2 linked regions of the Mytilus edulis genome follow. The protein of the gene in region 1 purifies or fractionates together with the protein of each later gene. This does not show direct contact. Links are inferred from orthologs where the notes say so. Each region holds a gene or a part of one and is shown on either strand. Other genes may lie near its edges. The genes, in order: E3 ubiquitin-protein ligase RNF123-like and ubiquitin-associated domain-containing protein 1-like.

Region 1 (3,940 bases):
ATATATTTTTACTGAAAAAACTATCATACAAGTGGAAGTTTGATAAAATGTAAAATTTAAGCTGTAACAATCATAGACTCTCATAAATTTACAATGTTCACATTACTACATGTAGGTTAACTGTCAATACACAGCAGCGAGCTATGTGGTCTTTTTCCTCTGTAAATAGTACTAAATACCAATGTCACTCTAATATTTTTTTGTCAGTTAATTGTCTCAATACTGTATGCAATAACCATTTAATGCAAATGAACTAGTTCAAATTAATATTGTCTATTAAATTCATGTTATTTTATGTTAATTTGGACATAAAATTGCGACTGTCATACAAGTGAGAGGTTTAGCTAGCTATAAAACCAGGTTCAATCCACCATTTTCTACATTAGAAAATGCCTGTACCAAGTCAGGAATATGACAGTTGTTATCCATTCGTTTGATGTGTTTGGACTTTTGATTTTGCCTTTTGATTTTTGATTTTCCTTTTTGAATTTTCCTCGGAGTTCAGTATTTTTGTGTTTTTACTTTTTGTTATTGATAACTTGTTTTATTTTTATGACAATCATGACAATGTCCACTTGATCTTAACCAGATTTAAGTCTGTGTCAACTTAAATCAGAAGTGTCAGCTGTTTATTGAATAACTCCTTATAAAAGTAAACCATAAAGATGCTGACTCTTATACATGGAATGTATTGATTATTTGATTTGTGACAATATAGAGTAAGGGGGTGTGGCTTTTAATTAAAAAAAAATAATGTTAAGAGACATTCGAAATTTATTTATATCAAGCTTTAACTGACATATTTAACAGGCCTATAACATTTTATACATAAATCAGAGTATAAAAGGGCTTCTAATTACTGAAGCTTACAAAAATCAATACACCAAATGTATGTCGGCAGATCAGACTCCGCAGCTTTATTAGCGCTAGTTTATTATTAAACGGATTCTGAACATTTTCGCAATTAGATTGATCAATATAATATATCTAGCAAATTGTACATTTCATTTTGTGTATTGTAACCAAAACACATGATAATTTCAGTGATGACATCACACAAGACTGATGATAGACTGTTTTCTGATAACGACATTTATTACAAGAATTTATGTCTTTTTACACGTCTTATCTATTTGCTTAGCAAACGCTTATACCTTTAGTCCTGTTCCAAGAACAATAACATCATATTCTTCATCCATTGTGAATATTCTTCGTGAGAATGGTTTCAATCTGCTGATAAATACACACACCGGCGAAAATGGCCTCCCACGCGTAGTAATCTCAAAAGCATTATAATATTTGATATTTTCTTATTTTTTGTCTTTGCAATAGATAGATTAACATCCTTAGTTCAATTTTATTCTGATCCTTAAAATGGTTTGTTCTTTGCAAGTCGAATATTTATGCTGAAATGGATTTGAAAATAGTACTTCAGACGTAACCATTTCCGGTTAAATAAATTTGAGTTGTTAGGCACTTCCTGGTTCAAATCACTGGTCAAGTGTACCAAAACAAAACAAAAATAGGGTGATCTCTGCAAGAATATTTTAAAATGAATAGACTTATGACAACTTGATATTTATCAAGCCACATCTTATAGTTGTATGTTGACAAATAGTTTTCCATTATTTAGTAAATTTGCGTCGTAAAGTTGTGATATATTTAAAGTCCAAACAAAATTACTGTTAGTGTTACAGTTTAGCAGACGACGTGATGTATTTTGATTAAATTAGGCCAACATTTGATATTTTGCATGTTAAGTGTGCCTGCAAAACAAAACAAAAATAGGGTGACTGCAAAACAAAATAAGGAGGGATCAGGTTTTCCAAGTTTTCGTAGGCTTGTAACTTCTCAGTAAATCGAGATTTTCGATGAGTATGTGCCATTTTAAATAAAATTCTCAGTTACGAAAATTTAGTTTTTTAGCACTACCAAATGGTAACTCAAATGAACGACCCCATTTGGCGGGTTGTCCCCAATCTGTCCAAAGATATCATATGACATATAATCAAAAACACCACAATCCGGTGAAAAGAAAATTAAGGGACAATAGTCAATATACAGTCTTCATATAAAGGATAGTATTTAATTTCTCATCATGCTCATAGTGCCCAAAGCTAAAATAAATAATAATATTCATTATACATACAATGATCACAACCATTCTTTAAAACAATTGGTGCAAAAAAGATCAACATCAAAGCAATTAAAAATAAAAATGTCAATAGACTAATGTCTATTCAACATGTCATTGACCAGAGATTAATTTTAACTAAGTGTTTGTGTTTGAGACTATATATCTTGGATACTAATTGCAACAGGTCTACACTAAAGTTTGAATTTTGTTCGTTATTTAGTACATAAATTAGGCCAGTAGTTTTCTTGTTTAAATAAAATGTTATAGCTGCATGACTATGTGTAATGGGATTTGCTCATTGTTAATGGCCGTACCGTGAACTATAGTTGTTAATTTCTTTGTCATTTGGTCTCTTGTGGGGATTTGTCACATTACCAATCATACCACAGCTTCTTTTTTATATTGAAAGGTGTACATGACATGTACAATATCAGTTTGACTGGGTTCATTTGAACATGGCTTGACCTCATTTTCATGTCATATCATGGTTTATTGGTCAACATTCAGATACATGTACTATAAGCCATAGGTCAACTATAGTTAGTTTAAGTGTGTGACATGACTGTGAGGTGTTGATATATGTCTCGGGGCAACCATGAAATTCAAATTGAATAATTGTCTCTCTATATATATTAAATGCCAGTATGGGTAGTAGTGGCCAGTGGTTCTGAGAAAAAGAGAACGAGGAAGTTTTTAATGACCTTGATTGGCTATACAGCCCTTGCAGTTGCACGGTCTGTCTATCTATATCTTTTATATATTTTTTAACCAATTTGCTCTATTCTTATTTTCTTGCCCAGGGTTTTCTATTCTTTACTGTTCATCACCCCTTTAAACTGTTTTCTACATTTTTCTGTCTCTTTTTTTCTTCTAATCTTTACTTGTTTGCCCATTTTTCTCTCAACTATAAACCACTTTCATGTACATTCCAATTTATTCATGATAATTGAAAGAAGGATTTTTTAGACAAATTTTTTGTCATTCAGTTTTAAAAAAATTATTTCTTTATATTATTGAAAAAATAGTTAAATTGTTGTTGGATAAAGTCCTTGCTCTTTCTGTACCATTTCTTTAAAGACTGATTTTAGATGGTCATGCATTTCTTTCCCTATCAGCATATTTTTTACATGTCAATCCATCTTAAACCTGCAATATTGTATAAAATTAAAAAGACAATTTTTTTAAATGGGAATGGAAATGAGGTATAGAGGTCAAAGAGACAACAACCTGACCAAAGAGCAGAAAACAGCTGATAAGCATGTAAATGTAGTTACAGTAATGAACATTACACAGATTTAAATACTATGTATACACTCATCATGATTAAGTTTTCATAAATCATGCATGTAACTTTATGTTGAAGCTGGGGTTTGAGAAGTCAAATTAAGCTGTGAATAAATCGCAGCTCTAGATAATCAGACTCAGTAGCAATAAATGTTATAAACGATTTTGTTGATCTCAACCTGCCACTGTTTAGTGTATGAATTAAAGTATTCAAGGTTTACAATTGTACATGTCAAAGTGCATCTGACATTGACACACATAGGGATAGATGATAATGTTAAGCTTGTGTGTTAGCTGTTTGAATCTTTCTTAAGCCTTTCACTATAAAATTTAAGCACGATCAGTAAAGCAGCTTATTCACATATTGAATTGTGCATGATAATATAGTTGTCTGATTTTGATACCTTTTATTTACAGGTGAAAATGGCTGAAGCAGCATACAAGGGAGGGATATATGTCAGATCAGAACAAGATCAGGATACTGGTTCAGAAGGTAGAATAAGAACTCAAATAAAATAA
Region 2 (3,940 bases), on another chromosome or scaffold:
CCCTTTTTTTCTCTAATCTTCATTTTTTTGGCCCATTAGTCTCTAATCTTCATTTTTTAAGGGCATTATTCTTTAATCATTTAACCCCATCCAAACCCTCAGTTATTTCTATTCGTACCAGGTCAGAATATTCAGTCAATTTGAAGACCCCCCCCTGGCACCGCTGGCTCCGATAATCAAATGGTCATACCCTAATAGCAAATAAAATGATGACGCAATACTGAGAAGCAACAAAGATACTCAGTCATTTTCTCGATCTATACTGACTGAATGTTGGATATGAATTGATTTGTGCAGTCACTAGTGTCATAAATCTAAAAAAATATCATAAACTAGTCAACAAATATCAATAAAATCTCCAATACCTAATGGCATGCTGCATTTCGTATTCGATTCAGTTGATATTTGGATTCGGTTTTATTACAGCAAAAAGTGAACGAAATATCTATATCTTTTAAACACAAAAAAAAAATGACTTTTAGTGAATCAGACCCTCATTAGTAGAACTGTATAATGCTCATCATATATGTAGGTATTACATGCATCTATGGGCCTCGTGATGTCGTTGTATTTTTTTTGGTTTTTTTTTGGGGGGGGGGGGGGTATAGCTATGTCTTAAAGGATTTTTCACCTTTCTATGCGGGTTGCAGAAAAAAATATCAAATTTCAAATATCGATGTATTTTATTGATCCAAAGACGTTAATTTTAATCAAAACAAACACACACACAATATAACTACTAGCACTGCCATCATGGCACTCATCCTTTTTCACAACTGTCTTTCTTAAAAACTGAAGTCTGATTCAGAGAAAACGCGGATGAGAAACAGTTCTTATCCAGCATTGATTTCTAACTTCTTTCGTTGAGCTATTTCCGCTATAAACAAAAATCAAGATACGTCTTATTTCATTCATGATACTTTAATTATCATGTATGTCTCAGATTCTAATATCTTCCCTTCAAAGGGGATGAGAATAAGGATTTGCCATATGGATGGACGTAACTATGTGATCGACCTGAACTCAAATATAAAGATTGACGAACTAAAAATAATGTCTTTAAGTCACTTTAATGACCCAGCAGAAAGCATTAAAACTTCGTTGTACCACAAGGTTTTACTCGCAAGAACTGGTCAGGTGTTATCTGAAGAGAAAACGATATCAGAAGAAGGAGTAAAAGAAAATGGTAATGTGTGATAAGAATAAATCACCTCTATTAAATGCAAACGGCAAAAATATTCGAATTTCAAAACATTTTTAAGTCGTGTACCTCTTACTACATGTACATGGTCAACTTTTGTTGTCTCATCCTATGTCATATTGTGGTAATTTCTGTTTGATTCAAATTTAGTCATTAAGAATTTCATAAATACTAAGTACATTTAGGTATCAGGTTCGTTCGCGCCCAATACACTTTCGCACCCAATACACTTTCGCACCCTACACGTTCGCGCCCAATTTTAATTTAAATTCCAGTTGAATAATTGGAAAATCGTGATTGTTGTTATAAAATTATAAAATTGCTTTGGTGTAAGTAAAACATTCAAGATTTTAAATGAACAAAAGATAATTGTTTTTAACAGCTTGGTCCCTTTGATCTGAAACAATAAAATATAGCAATACACTATTATAACCAAAACATGATAAAAATTTATTAACACAAAAAAATAAAACGTTGACAGAATCCCACTTTATTTAGAAAGATTTATTTTTTTAACAATACCTGTGACATTTATAATACATATAATAATTGTATTATATGTCTCTGACAATACACTTATATCCAAAACATGATTAAAATGTATTCAACACAAAATTTTGAGACAATGACAACAAATATAAGAATACACTTGCCAAAACTTGATTACAAAGCTATAGTTATTAAACACAAAACCAATACACCTATCCATTCTCCTGCCAATCATCAGTTAATTGACCAATCACATGTGGTCAATTTGCCACATGTGTAAACATTTGATAGCAGCATGTGTTGTCGGACATAACCTCGGTCAAGCTTTCTTATCTGAACAGTTGATTTGATAGAATTTTTTTGATTTTTTTGCAATTAAACCATTAATTATATTGTTTTAGGGAAAGTTATCAAAGTAAGAGGGTAGAGGAAGGTGAAGTTGTCAATTTCCAACAAAAAAAAGGTTATTTCAATGAGTGAAACTAATTAATAAATCAATTAAAAAGGAATAGGATGGCAGTGCTTATTGATTTTAAAATATTGTTTACATGCTTATAGTATTTAAAACAAAAAATGATAAAAAAAATATATATTTTAAAACACAAGATTTCGATTGGTTTACAAATTGAATTTAAGAATTCAAATTGATATTTTTTTTCTCATTCATTTGAGAATTTATTATACTATAAAACATCCAAGTTAGAATGTGTTATTTCTTGAAAATCAAGGCCGTAACTACCCTTGAGGCAAGTGAGGCAATTGCCTCACTAAAATTTCGACACTGATTATTTTTTTTTATACATATATACAAATAAAATAGTCTTTTGTTGTTCTGTCTCAACCTTAATTTCTATAACTTGTCATCATTCCTTTAAACTATTCTTCCTGGATATAACTCAGCATCTCAACGGGTGATGTTTCTCAATTACATTAACCTAGTAACGATAATCATCATGGATCTCTGGTTAAAAACAGGCTCTTGCAGAAAAAGGAAAAGCGACACTGAAGGTAAAGAAGGAATAATTCTAGTAAACTAATTTGTTTGTGAACGTAGTCTGCGTATTGCATATAACTTCATTAGCACAATCCAAAAACGATAAGTAGACTGACAAATCAAGTAGTGGGCATCGCAAGGGGGCAGTCCTGTCTGTGTATTCATTTCTCCGTTTCTTCAACTTTAATCTTTCTCTTTACAGATAAATAAAATATAAATAATATGAAACATGCATGGATTAGTTTTTCATGATCCATGTTTCTCTAACCTTAAAAATTGAAAGAACATCCCATATTCCAATTTGACATTATTGAGGAATGGTATAGAACCTTTATCACAGGATTTTGTCTTTACTTATTCGGGACTACGGAATTTCATTTCTTTATATTCGGGGTTTCGGAATCAGACACCCCCAACCCCTAACCCCTAAATTTATAGATTCTGGAACTAAAATACCACCGACTATTTCCAGAAATAATTTGAAATTACGGACCTACATGTAAACGTCAAAACTCCATTTTAATTCCCCTGTACCCATATCATATATACTTACTCTATAGATAGATCATATACATGTATCTTATCTCATTCTATCCCTAGTTTGTTTACTCTTTGTCAGCATACAAGCGAGTTTAATATTTTGTAACTGAGACTGTATGATGATGCTAGCCTTTATAGGAAAGCTTAATTCCCTTTTGCAAACAAAACTGTTACTACCGATGCTGCTACCGAATTGCTGATGGAGAAGGAATTGGAAGAAGACATTGATCATTGTGTTGATGATAATGTGCTACCTTGAGAAACACAGACTGCCCTGAAACGACTGAAATCTAGGAAAAGAGCATACATGAGTGGCGAGAGGTTGTGCGGACTTGCCATGCTCCATGTTCATCGCGATAAGGATATCAGCAGACCAAAGTTATGATTCTAAAACAATTTGACTGAACCCACCATAGAAATAATTGGCAAACTCTACTGAATCGATGTTTGTTCTATGTTCTGGCGGCAGATTTAAATTGATATTTGGATGATTATCTTACATACAAATTCAAATAAAGTTGTTAAAAATTTGGTATTAGTAAAAGTCTTTAAATATGAACAATTTATATAAAAACTGTCCAAATTCAAAACATTATCAAACTCTCTAAAAATGCCTAGAACGCAGGATTTTGCACCATTCATTTCATACCCTCCAAAAAAATTTAACGCCTCGCTTCGCTCGGCTCAATTATTTTGCCTCACTAAAATAAGATGCC

What was found.
Region 2: the proteins of E3 ubiquitin-protein ligase RNF123-like (region 1) and ubiquitin-associated domain-containing protein 1-like purify together in Homo sapiens (affinity purification with mass spectrometry; 7 studies listed by BioGRID and IntAct, counting the BioPlex papers as one, with this or other methods). This does not show direct contact. The link is inferred for Mytilus edulis from reciprocal best matches to the Homo sapiens genes RNF123 and UBAC1.

The regions. Positions count from the first base shown.
Region 1 is NC_092344.1:2,885,991-2,889,930, reverse strand, and holds the start of E3 ubiquitin-protein ligase RNF123-like, read left to right. Parts: upstream 1-1,436; 5' UTR 1,437-1,602; exon of another isoform or gene 1,603-1,653; intron 1,654-3,808; exon of another isoform or gene 3,809-3,838; 5' UTR 3,839-3,844; coding exon 3,845-3,914; intron 3,915-3,940. Other genes in the region: rab GDP dissociation inhibitor beta-like, read right to left, coding at 1,155-1,199. UniProt on the Homo sapiens protein: Catalytic subunit of the KPC complex that acts as E3 ubiquitin-protein ligase. Promotes the ubiquitination and proteasome-mediated degradation of CDKN1B which is the cyclin-dependent kinase inhibitor at the G0-G1 transition of the cell cycle.
Region 2 is NC_092345.1:75,269,481-75,273,420, reverse strand, and holds the start of ubiquitin-associated domain-containing protein 1-like, read left to right. Parts: upstream 1-856; 5' UTR 857-930; coding exon 931-1,186; intron 1,187-3,940.